Linked DNA regions of Mus musculus: regions 2, 3 and 4 are each reported to be linked to region 1. Evidence: microRNA targets listed by miRTarBase, many of them from high-throughput screens and not tested one by one. Region 1 holds a microRNA gene; each other region holds the end of a gene's coding sequence. Distances are from middle to middle.
What was found. The annotated mature microRNA mmu-miR-374b-5p reads AUAUAAUACAACCUGCUAAGUG and lies in region 1 at 1,085-1,106, opposite strand. An mRNA with a match to its seed (bases 2 to 7 or 8) in the 3' UTR can be bound and repressed. Matches are read on the target gene's strand: a 7mer-m8 pairs with bases 2 to 8, a 7mer-A1 pairs with bases 2 to 7 and ends in A, and an 8mer does both.

Region 2: miRTarBase lists Lmtk2 as a target of mmu-miR-374b-5p. Seed matches in the 3' UTR shown: 7mer-A1 at 2,332-2,338.
Region 3: the mRNA of Nadsyn1 is a reported target of mmu-miR-374b-5p. Seed matches in the 3' UTR shown: 7mer-m8 at 2,337-2,343.
Region 4: the mRNA of Syp is a reported target of mmu-miR-374b-5p. The part of its 3' UTR that is shown has no 7-base or 8-base seed match.

Annotation. Positions count from the first base shown.
Region 1 is chrX:103,572,028-103,575,100 of GRCm38, forward strand. Mir374b (microRNA 374b) reads right to left here and starts at 1,127; the gene lies at 1,033-1,127. All of the region lies in intron 9 of Ftx (Ftx transcript, Xist regulator (non-protein coding)), which reads right to left. Mir421 (microRNA 421) reads right to left here and starts at 969; the gene lies at 894-969. It overlaps Mir374c (microRNA 374c), which reads left to right and starts at 1,058; the gene lies at 1,058-1,106.
Region 2 is chr5:144,184,219-144,187,291 of GRCm38, forward strand. Lmtk2 (lemur tyrosine kinase 2) reads left to right here. Exons shown (of 14, transcript NM_001081109.2): 14 at 498-3,073. The coding sequence ends at 526. Among named protein-coding and RNA genes, the nearest start is that of Bhlha15, 4.5 kb to the right of the region's middle.
Region 3 is chr7:143,793,480-143,796,552 of GRCm38, forward strand. Nadsyn1 (NAD synthetase 1) reads right to left here. Exons shown (of 21, transcript NM_030221.2): 21 at 2,112-2,577. The coding sequence ends at 2,470. Among named protein-coding and RNA genes, the nearest start is that of Mrgpre, 11 kb to the left of the region's middle.
Region 4 is chrX:7,648,669-7,651,668 of GRCm38, forward strand. It overlaps Syp (synaptophysin), which reads left to right. Exons shown (of 7, transcript NM_009305.2): 6 at 1-219. The coding sequence ends at 215. Among named protein-coding and RNA genes, the nearest start is that of Prickle3, 7.2 kb to the right of the region's middle.

The sequences.
Region 1 (3,073 bases):
CTACCTAGCAAGAAACAAAGAAGGAAAACCACAAATCTCGTGCTTCTTAGAGTCCATGCCAAACCTCAAATCCTTTCACGACCACTCCAAGTTGTCTTCTTCATATGTCTGCCTGCTCCAGTGAAGAGATGGATCCTTTCATAGAAAGCTATTCTAGCAGGGTGTACATTCTGCCCTCTGTGGTGCTTTGAAGGAACACCGTGGCCCTACCTCATGTATTTGAACACTCATATCCCAGGTGGTGGCTACATTTGGGAATGTAATGGGACCTTTCAGAAGGAGAACCTTGCTTGAGGTGTGTCACTAGGGGCAAGACTGGGGTTTTCTACCCTGGTTCCACTTCCTGTTCTCACTTAGCTTACCACACTGAGGCCATGCCTGCTCTGTTACTATATCCTTCTGGAGCTATGAGCAGCAATAAAATTATAAATGGAGGTATGGGGAAAGCGGGTAAAGGAAAATGAATACCAACCATAACAGCACACCCCAGATTTTAAAGACGAAGCTCCTACTCAGTGATCACTGTAGTCCAACCTAGGGAGTAATCGGTAGCGATTATAGTAACAACAACAGAGATGCAACAATGACAAGCAGGCATTTCCAAAACACAGGCATAAATACAGTATTTCATAGAAAATATCACATTTATGGTACATGAGCTATTATCCCTTCCTTCCACACCCTCAGGATAGAAAAGAACCAGATATGGAATCCTTTTTATAAAACACAGTCGAGGCACAATTATCAATCAATTGGAATTGGTTTGAAAGGTAAAATATATCCACTATGATTATACTACACAGAACACAGGAATGAGCTGCAGAAATAAGGACGCTGCGGAGAGCTTGAACGTTGAAGGCCACTGGCAGGAACAAGCTGAGCCCATGGAGATCACAGAGCAGGCGCCCAATTAATGTCTGTTGATGATTCATTTTTTCATTCAACAAACATTTAATGAGGCCTACAATGTGCACCGGATTAGGCACTGTGAGTACAAAGTCACCATCCTTGCCCTTACGGATTAGTTTGATAGACGAGAGCCATAACCTCGGACAATGATAATACAACCTGCTAAGTGCTAGAACACTTAGCAGGTTGTATTATATCCACCCGAGTAGGATTTCTTCAGAGGAACACCACTCCAGGTTGCTGCGCGATCCATGAAGTTCTCCTGATCACCAAGGCCAGCTGTTGTTTCTTGCTCTCCAGGGATGACAGTCACAAGAACTAACATAGCTAGTTATCAGTTAGAATTCGGCTTCAGGTCAACTGTGACCATTCCCCAAACATCCTTTTCTGTGTTTATACAAAAACCTTTATTCAGCTATAACACAAGTTTTCAAAAGCTTTTAACTTAGAACAAAGAAGAAAGGCAATAGATTACTAATCAAGAGCATGAATGGAAGAATCATCGAGTTTCCTACATGGGCTAACTTCACATTAGTGAATCATTAAAAACGTCCATGATCCCTCCCCACAACACCATTGACCATTCAAAAGGTATAATAATAATTAACTTTCTTCTTTTAATTCTTGCATTGCCCGCTCCATCATTAACAGCAACAATAACTAAGATAGCATTGAGTGGACGCAATTAACAAACAGGCCAGCTAATGCCTATGCCCAAACCCTAGAGTCACTGTTTGCATGCACACTTCAGAGCTTCCTTTCCCAAATCTGAACCATTTACTTAAGTAAAATTGTCCTCATTATAAATGCATTATTTGAATAGTAAAGATCAATACGATAGGTCTGAGTAGAAAACATGTTCATAGATTTTGTTGTTTGTTTCAGTCAGGGACTTGTTATGAAACCCAGACTGGACTCAAAGTCAAGATGGTCTTCCTGTATAAGGACCCGAAATGCTGGGATTCTAGGCATGTGCCAACATGCCTTGCTTTATAATGCTTTGAGATCAGAAACCCTAGAGTGGATATTACACATATCTGATGCTTCAAAGTAAAGCAATGAACATTTCAAGTCTCTAAACACTTCAAAAGAAAAATAAAGTTCAGGAGAAAGCCTGCCAGTGACAAGAGACTATTCAGATGAGAATGATGGGGCACCGCTGCTATCTCCGTGTCTTACTGAGGATTGGCAGTTCCTAGATACGGCTCTTCTATGGAGAAGAAACTAAATGTATATCTAAGGAATGAGAGGATGGCAGCTATCCATGACAAAAAATTCCTTCCCTGTAAAACTCTCCTCCATATATCCTACCCCAAACCTCTTAGCGAGTAACTAGTCAGCCTGTAAGGTTTAATCTATATACCTGAATATCTCTCATCTTTGGGACTAATTCAATATCCTGACTACTGAGAGAACTGAATAATAATAATAATAAATGATTTGAACTGTGGACAAACATTTAGATCAACATGAAAAAGTGATCTGAGAGGGAAACAGACTCTTAAAAAACCCCTTGTAGCCCCGACAAAAGTTACTCATGAGTTAAAAGACATTTGTTGGCAGCATTATCAATAAATAATCTTAGCCTGGGGTTTAAGATTATAGGGTAATAAGCACCTTGAAATTGAAGACCCTTAAGGTGTATCTATATTCATAGTTAGAAGTTTAAAATGGACAGACAATCTGGTATAAATCGTCATGTCTCTGAGCCAAGTAGGAAGATGAACAGCAGCTCCAGTGTCTTGAGCCCAATTCTCATCCATACTCAACTAAACACAACCTTGCAGTATAACCCATTTTCTGGCAGTCCCTTAGACAAGGAGCAGAAAATACCTTTAAACGAATTCAAGGCCAATAAGGATGTCTGGATACAAATTTCTCCAACAATATGTTACTGAAAACTTAAGCCTTCAGAACCACTGATTAAAGTTTGCATAAAAGCTACATTACCTAACATAGTAAGAGACTATCAATCTTTCTTTCATTCCTTGTTTACCCTGTTGAGACAGGGTTGCTCGATGTAGCCCTGGCTGTTCAGGAACTGGCTTTGTAGACAAGGCTGGCCTTGGATCATTTCAAGGTAGACAAAGGGAATGTATCCTTGATGTGATTTTCCCATTTACAGATTATGTTTATAAAATACTGTTTGTAATTTTCATTGTCA
Region 2 (3,073 bases), not on the chromosome of region 1:
GTGTTGATTTTGCCATTAAGTCTTGGTCTCTGTGTGATACTGGACGGCCAGCTGGGAACTCACAGCAGGGGCCATTTGAAGTAGCAATACCTGAACATATGGGCCCCTTTCCCTATACCAAGATCAGGAGATAAATATTAATAGGTACATTTTTTACTTGAAGTTTACAGATCAAATAATAACTGTAGGATATAAAGCACTTTTGTTTACTTGGTTTTCACCTGTGCCGATGAGATAATGCCAGAGCCTGAGGATCTCTGGGGGCAGGTGTACAGGTCAGCGCCCGAGTGTGACCATGGAGCCTCTGTGGGAGCCAAGCACCTGTGTGTGCAGCCCTGCAGGTTGTGGGAAGGAGGGGAGACAGGGCAGCACAGGAGGGCACCAGCTATGCTTCCTTTTCCTGCCGTTCTGGTCTGCTCGCCTCCATGCTGGCACTCTCTGGGTAGTCGGCTCTTAAATCTGACCTGCGCTGTTATGTTGCTTCTGTCTGGACATAGGCAGCAGTGAAGACGGAGACAAGGACTAGTTGGCTGTAGACACTCTCCCAGCCAGCAGCGCTCCTGCTTGTCCACCTGAGCAACGCAATCCACTCCATGCTGACTGGCACCAGACAGTGAGCGGCTCAGGAGTGATGGAAAGCGGGGCCACCACGCCAGGAAGCAACTCCCTCTGCAGCGCTCGTCTGCCCGCTCGCCTGGGCTGCTCCTGCACTCGTGCTGGGCATCCTGCCGAAGTGGCCACACTGCCACACTGCTCTGGCTCACGAGTATTGGAGGACCTGAGCACCTCAGGCCGTGGGTCTGTGTGGGGTGTGTGGGTGTGGATGTCTGCCTCGCCACAGGTGCCACAGAGGGGCAGGCGCACCAGGGGAGGGAGTGCTCACAAGTGAGCCATATTTATTGTCTTTAGGAAATCACTAATTGCTCTTTGACTGCACTGTGGGTGAGTGTTCTGAGCTCCCAATATTGTACAGCATCGTAAATTATCCAAGGAAGATATGGCAGGCCAAGCTGGTGCTGACCGCTGGTTTGATTTTCTTTTTTGTTTTTGTTTTTGTCTCTGTCTCCTTGGGTGTCTGCTCTGCATGGCACTGTAAAGCTTCGGTATTTTGAGTGTTCTTCTTTCTTAGACCCACCCGCGGGAACCGTTCACAGGTACCCTCCCTCGGGCCCTTTTGATTCTGGGAGTTAGGTTGTGTTTTATGTTCTTAGAGGACATATTTTTGATGAGGCCAAAACTGCTGTTCTGTTTCGTTGATTGCATCGAGCATGTTTCTATATAAGGTGGGTACTCTGAGCAGCCTGCCCTGCCTCTCGTGCTTTGAAATTCTTTTGGTAGAAATCCCTGAAGAGGTGCACCCATCACTCAGTGCCCAGGGTCCTTTTCTGGCGAGATGAGGCCATGCACCACTTGCTCAGCACAGAGGCCAGCTTGCGGGAGCTCTGCGTCTCAGGCAGGTGGGACCTCTGAGACACTGGTCCCCACAGAGCTGTAAGTGAGAAGAGCAGTTTGTCCACTCTGGGTGCTGCTGAGGGAGCTGTTTGGGAAGAAGCCATCCCTGGCCATAGCCCCCAGGATACAGCCAGCCCCTGTAGCTGCAAGTAGCAGGGCAGAGACCCCAGCAGGGCCTCCAGCAGCCCTCATGGCCCCTTTCCTGTACCAAGCACCCAGCTCTCCTCTTGTTCTGAAAGGGATTTCACATCTTCAGCGTAGCTTCAGTACATCATCGGAGGAGTCTGCTGTCCCTAACACAGAGGGAGACCTCGCTTTCCTACCCCAAGCAAGTATTGGTGGCCATGGCAGCGTGGCGAAGCCATGCTGGGCGGGAGCTGCACCTGCTGGCGTGGCTCTTCTCACTGAGCTCCTCGCCCCAAATATCCCGGTGCTGCCCCTGCTGTCCAGGCTCCAGTGTGACAATGGGTTGAGTCTCCAGGCCCTGGCCAGGACATCCTGCTATCAATCAGAAGGACTTGGACTCTCCTGCAGAGTGCAAGTGTGGGTGTCGGTGTGAGTTCACCTAACAAATCATGACCTTTATCATCAACTCTGATTCGATCCATGCGTTTTTTTTATACTAAGCAATAACTTTACGATCAACAGAAGAAATTTTAAAACAGAGTCTCCTTTTCCCATCCTTGGTGCAGACTGTGCCTGCCTGGACTCCGTAGAAAGCACTGGATTTTGTGACATGTATATTAAAAACAGGGCATTTCAAAGTAATTTTGCCAAAATTGTCATAACTGAATTTTTGCTGTGTGGACTTTCTGATTTTTTTTTAATTATTTTTTTACCTCTATCTACCAGCTTTAGTTGAGAAAGAAAGGAGGTGTAATTATAATAAGTTTTTTTTGTTTTTTTTTTTCAAATTACAGGTTTCAGAAGTTGAGATTCACTGATTACAGTCAGGTGGATCCATATGTGTAGCCTCCTTTCGCAGCCAGCCTGGGATAGAGTTACTGACATTTGAGGGCTGGCCATCTTTCACCATGCTGAGGGGATTTTAACAATACAATTCCCGTTTATATTTATATCTATATTGTTCTCATGGTAAATTGCCAAAATAAAAGCATTTTATATATTGAGTTGGGGTGGGGGTGGGATAGATCTTCTGTGTCGTTGCATGGAAGGGAAGACTTTGTATAACACGCATCAACACATCCTCCCCAAATCTCAAGCAATAGACAGAAATCTCAGTAGACTAAACTCCAGCCCATTTTTTAAATGTGAGCATGTGCTTTGCCATCCAGTGTGGGTTTTGTTTTGGTTTAGGTTTTGTTTTTTGTTTTTCAAGATAGGGTTTCTCTGTGTAGCCCTGGCTGTTCTGGAACTTGCTGTATAGTCCAGGCTGGCCTCAAACTCAGAGATCCACCTGCCTCTGCCCCCTGATGCTGCCACCATACCCAGCTGGTTTTATCTTTTAATGATAACTTAGGTGCCCTTGGTGGGCTTTCCAAACCTGGTTACTCAACGTTAGCAGTGAAGCGAGCCGGTGGTGACTGTGGCTGGAATGTGGTGGGCTTGGTGACTTTTCTTTCTGCCCTCCCTTGAGTGCTCACCCTCCACCTACCAGACT
Region 3 (3,073 bases), not on the chromosome of region 1:
GCTTCCTGTCTTGCTCCATAAACCTCCCCTAAGGACCTCCAGGTCTCACCTGCTCTCTTCTGCTTCTGTCAGAGGGATAGTATCTGTCTAGGCTGAGCATTTCAGCCTCTATCCTAGCAGAAAATCTAGGCCAGGTTCCTGGCTTCCTCCGCCATCCTGGTTAGTGGGGTCTGCCTGAGAAATAAAGGAAAGGCCCGAGACCAGAAAAGGGCTCAGTTCCTCCCTAGCTCTCTCTTCTTCCATCCTCCATGTCCCCACAGCTGAGGACCTGTTCTCTCTGAAGCAAGCTTCCCCCAACTTCAGCCCGTTTGCAAGGAGAGACTGTGACAGACTCCCCAGGGTCCTTCCACCTGAGTGATGGGAGCATAGCTTCCCCCGTTGGACGCCGGACACTGGCTATTGGTTTGTTTGTTTGTTTAGACACTGACTATTGGTGATTAAAAAGTCACAGTAGGAAGGTGGGAAGATGAATCAGCAATTAAGTGTTCACTGCTCTTACAGAGGACCTGAGTTCAATTCCTAGAACCCGCATCAGGCTGCTTACAATTGCATGCTTGCTTCCCTGGTTCCAACATCCTCTTCTGATCTTGGCAGCCACCTGTGCACAGAGTATAGTGCATACATCTCTCTCTCTCTCTCTCTCTCTCTCTCTCTCTCTCTCTCTCTCACACACACACACACACACACACACACACACACACACACACACACACACACATACATCTTAATTTAAAAAGTCACACTAAGGACCTCTGGGGTAAGTGCTTCCATTCTTCCATTGTAGGCAATGGCCTCTGTATCCTATCCTGGTTCTATGGTGCTTTCTCCTCAAACTGTGGAACCGGGAGAAAGAAGCACATTAGAACCCTAACTCCACCAGCCTAAAAAATCCAACTGCTGTTATGGCAATAGCCCTTCCTGACAGCTAGTGTGTGCCCATCAGGGACTGACAGGCAGAGAACTCCTGACTCGCCAGGGGCTTCAGTTTGGCTTGGTTTCCCACTGCATGCACCCTACTTGAATTGCTGTCTGTCCATCCCTGCTGGTTCTTTGCCTAGATCCAATCCTGCCTTTTCACTGTAGTAGTTGTTGCCACAGCATCCCTGGCTTCTGTTTTTTATCAATAGAGACTGCTGCACCTTCTTTTTTTTTCAGTTTTGACTTCTTTGACCTCTTGGGAACTCCCTGTCAACTCTTTGTGGTTACTCGATAACTTACACACACACACACACACACGCTATATGATGTTATGCATATTCTGATAGTTAATATTAGTAATTAAGATTGGAGTGAAAGAAACTTTTTGCCTCAGCCAGGTTATCAAGGAAAGCCGGGTTGTCTGGCACATTATTGCCACCAAAACAGCTATCTATACCTTGTGAATATATTGTTATTCAATGAACTCTTAACACTGTGGAAAAGACACAAATGTGTTCATCTTTGTTTCTGATATAGCGAGTAGCCCCTACTCTACACTTGGATAGCCAGCCTAGCAAGAAGGAGCTAAGCCCGTGAGCCAGGCAGAGGATGTGGCTGCATGTGGACAGAGGGACAGATGCGGGGTAGAGGAGAGCCCTGGAAGGTCCTCTGGGCAGAGAAAGGGACCAGATGCCATTCCACTGCATTCAGACCTGGAAGGTTCCCACAGGATAAGGTAAGGGTAAGGATGGCTGGTTCCCTGACACCACACAAGCAAACTTGGCAGTACCATCCAGGTTCCCACTGGAACCCAGGGCAGGGAGGCAGGTGTGGGTGGAGGGGAGTGGCTTCTCAGGTTTTTCAGGTTTAAGATGCCCCTCCTTGGTCAGAAAGCATGTCATGTCACAGTTCTGATACCCAGGCCCATCCCCACATGGGGCATCCTAGCCCATGATGGCCATACACACACCGGAAAGCACTGTGACTGAGCAGCGTGACAGCACACTTGATGCTCAGTGGTTAACAATGCTTGTTACTTTCAGAGGACTGGGGTTCAGTTCCCAGTACCCAGACCAGGTGGCTCACACCTGCCTGCATCTGCAGCTCCTGTGATCTGATGTCCTCTTTTGGCCTTTGGGGCATCCACACACACACATATACATGTACGTACACATCAATAAGCTTATTTTGTGTTTAGAATTTTATGAGTTTTATTTTTACGTGCATGGCTTTTTTGCCTACACGCATGCCTGTGAAGCCACACTGGCTGCTCTCACAGAGGACCCAAGTCCGATTCCCAGTACCCACAATCATCTTTAGCTCTAGTCCCAGAGGACCTAATGCCCTCTTCTGGCTTCTGTGGGTACCAGGCATGCATGTAGGACACAGACATATATGTAAGCAAGAGACTATATATATATAATAATAAAATACACTTTAAAAAGAACATTCTTGTTTATATTTTTTATGTCATTAGAATAAATCTCTCTTCCTTAAAAGGTAACTAAGATCTGGTCAGGCTGTGCCGGCCACCGCTGATCTGGATTCACATTAGGGGTCCTTGGGGAGGAGCTGTTTCCATATAGGTGATGGCTCTTTGAAGTGCTCCAGGACCTGTTCTTCCCGGGTCTGCGATGCTTTCCTCTCAAGCTGTAGAACCTGGAGAGAGAAGCCCATCAGAACCGTCTCTGTCACCCTTCAAAGAACCAGCAGCTGGAACTACCCACCAGGCCTGTGAAGGTTATGAAACGCCCAGGTATAGTGTACAGACGGTGCTGGGGAATAGATTGGCGCAGGGGAGTGCTTGGTGGCCACTGTGGATGGTGAGATTCCAGGTGCCTCTATTTCTGCCCACCGTGAGGCCACACAGCATCAAAATCCCTCTCTGATCTGTAGAAACTGCCGCCAAGTGGGTCTTTCTGGGAGGTAGAGTGGCCAAGCCTTTATTGCTACTAAAGAAGCCAGAGCTTGGTGCTAGAGAGTTAACTTAGTAGATGAGAGCACTTGCTGCTCTTCCAGGGGACCTGAGTTCAAGTCCCAGTACTAATATCAAGCTGTCTGTAAGCCCAGCTCCAGGAGATCCAGCCTCACAGGCACATATCCACAGGCATAGATACACACAATAGTTATAAAGAACAGCAGTAAATTAAACAGA
Region 4 (3,000 bases), 96 Mb from region 1:
AACCAGCTCCTGGCGATGCCTACGGCGATGCGGGCTATGGGCAGGGCCCCGGAGGCTATGGGCCCCAGGACTCCTACGGGCCTCAGGGTGGTTATCAACCCGATTACGGGCAGCCAGCCAGCGGCGGTGGCGGTGGCTACGGGCCTCAGGGCGACTATGGGCAGCAAGGCTACGGCCAACAGGGTGCGCCCACCTCCTTCTCCAATCAGATGTAATCTGGTGAGTGACAACTGGGCGGATGCGGTAGGCAGGGAGCATACAAGGAGTGAAGTTTGAAGGAACCAATAGATAGGCAGAACCAAAAAAAAAAAAAGGTGAACTTGGTAAAACTAGCCAATGAGAGGAACCGTGAGAAGGAAGGGGACGGAGCAGTGCTCAGAGTAACCAATGAAAGGAGTGTAGGGGCACTTGCGCAGTGGAGAATCACCAAAGTGGTGTAGGTTTCCAGGAAGGGAAGGGGAGGAGGGTCTTTGAAATCATTGGTAAACCAATAGGCGGTAACGCCAGTAGGTGGAAGAAGGTAAACACGTTGGGTTTTGAAGGGCGCTAGCGCTAAAGCAGGATGTAGGTCAGCTGCTACCTCTCCTTAACCCTTTAATGAAAGAGAGAGTTTGGAATTTCAAATGAGGAAAAGGGGAGGGCTGGAGGCCTTAGAAACACGAGTATGCCTTTTTGTTGGGCCTTTAAAAAATGAATGCCGCCGGACGGTGGAGGCGCACGCCTTTAATCCCAGCACTTGGGAGGCAGAAGCAGGCGGAGTTTTTGAGTTCGAGGCCAGCCTGGTCTACAAAGTGAGTTCCAGGACAGCCAGGGCTATACAGAGAAACCCTGTCGCGAAAAAAAAAAAAAAAAAAAAACCCTGCCTGGTGTGATGGAGCACATATATAATCCCAGCACTTGAGAGGTAGAGGCATGGGGATTGCAAGTTCTCGAGTCCTGCGTGGTCAGTATAGCCCAATCCTGTCTTAAACAGAGACGGTAACAGCATCTAGGTGGGAGCAGATGTGGTCCTGGGTGAGCCTTCTACAGCAACCCACATTTAATTGTTTTTAAACTCCTTGGACAGGCTCTGAGACACACCTTTAAGCACAGCTCTGGGGGAATTAGAGACAGGCCTAGGTCTCTTGTTTTGCAAAGCAATTTCCAGGCTGCTTGGAGACCCTGTGTGTGTGTGGGGGGGGGGGGGGGATTCCAGTCCTGTTGGTTCCTATTTTCAAAATCTCTCCAGCCTTTTCCTTTTTTTCACAATTATCTTCCTTAGAGTGCTTCCCAAGTGCCTGTCTTCTATCCTGTTTACAACCCCTTCTACCACCCACCCAGCAGCCTCAAGGATTCTGCTGGGCCACTGGCCTAGATTCAGAAGTCACTGTCCTTCCCTCACTGTCTGTTGTAGCATCTCACTTAAAAGCAAAAACGATGTTAGTGTGCGCCCAGGCCCACCAATGCAGCACTGCCCTATCTTCCCCACAGACAGAATGTGACCTTCGCCTCCTAGCATTGTTTCGGGCAAACTGGCCCGGGCCAGGTCTAGGTGCACTGCAGGGCCTTTGCTTTTGCTTTCTACATACACACCTTTCCCTAGCCATTGCTTTGGTCACTCACTCAATGAGGTTTTTTGCTGGCTGGCTGGCTGTCGGGAGAGTTGCTTTGTTTTACAAGTACTGAGACTTGAATTCTTGCACACTAAGCAAGTGCTCTAACACTGCCTCTTTTTACTTCTTTTTTGTTTGTTTTGTTTTTCCGAGACAGAGTTTCTCTGTGTAGCCCTGGCTGTCCTGGAACTCACTCTGTAGACCAGGCTGGCCTCGAACTCAGAAATCCAGCTGCCTCTGCCTCCCGAGTGCTGGGATTAAAGGCGTGCGCCACCACTGCCCAGTCTCTTTCTACTTCTTATTTTGAGACAGAGTTTACTAAATTGCCCAGATCAATTTGGAACTCATCCTATAACCCAGGTGGGCTGTGAATTTGCAGTACTCTTGTCTCCATCTCCCATGTGGCTGGAACTCATAGGTTTGCACCCACCAGCACACCTGACTTAGTTGTTGATAGTATTTTTGAGACAAGATCTCCTGTAGCCAAGGCTGGCCTGGAGCTCCTTAGGTCACTAAAGCTGATCTTGACTTCCCGACAGTGCCTCTACCTCCCTGTTTTGCTTTGGTTTGAGTTAGGGTCCGATTATGGAACCAAAGCTGGCCTTGAACTTGTTTTCCTCCTGCTTCTGCCTCCTAAATTTTGGCACGGGTATATACCACCAGCTACATATCAAAGGTTGTCTGTCTAAAACACCTCCGCTTGTTATCTCTCGCATCATACCCTATGTTTTTCCTTCTCACAATTTGTAATTTACTAATTTGTGGTTCATATATTACACTAGATTGGAGATCTAAGACTCATTCGTGCTACCCATATATCACTTAGAGTACTTTTTTTTTTTTATTCTTTTATTTAATCGTAAGTTCAAATGTCCATGGAGTCCAGAAGAAAGGTCAGCTTCCTTGGTGATAAATGTACAGATTGTTGTAACCCACCCAGTGTGGGTTCTGTGAGTGAAATGTGGGTCCTCCAGAAGAGCAGCACACATTCTTAACTCCTGAGTCATCTCTACAGGCTCACTTAGGGATTTTTTTTCTTTTTTTTTTTTTTTTTTTTTGATTTTTTGGTGACACGGTCTCTCTACATAGCCCTGGCTGTTCGGGAACTCACTGTGTAGATCAGGCCGGCATCAAACTCACAGAGATCCAACTCCCTCTGCCTCCTGAGTGCTGGTATCAAAGGTGTGCACCATCATGCATGGCCTATTATCGTCTTATATTTGATAATCTACTAATATGTCATGTTCATTGTGAAACCTGTCTCCTTTCCTGATATGATGTAAACCTCACAGAGATAGGGATTTTTTTTTTCTCAATGTGGATTTTCAACAGTGACTAGAACGGTACTGGTTAATGGGCTATTTTGGTTAAGAGAGGGGACCTTAACCGTTCCTTTGGTACCCTGTTT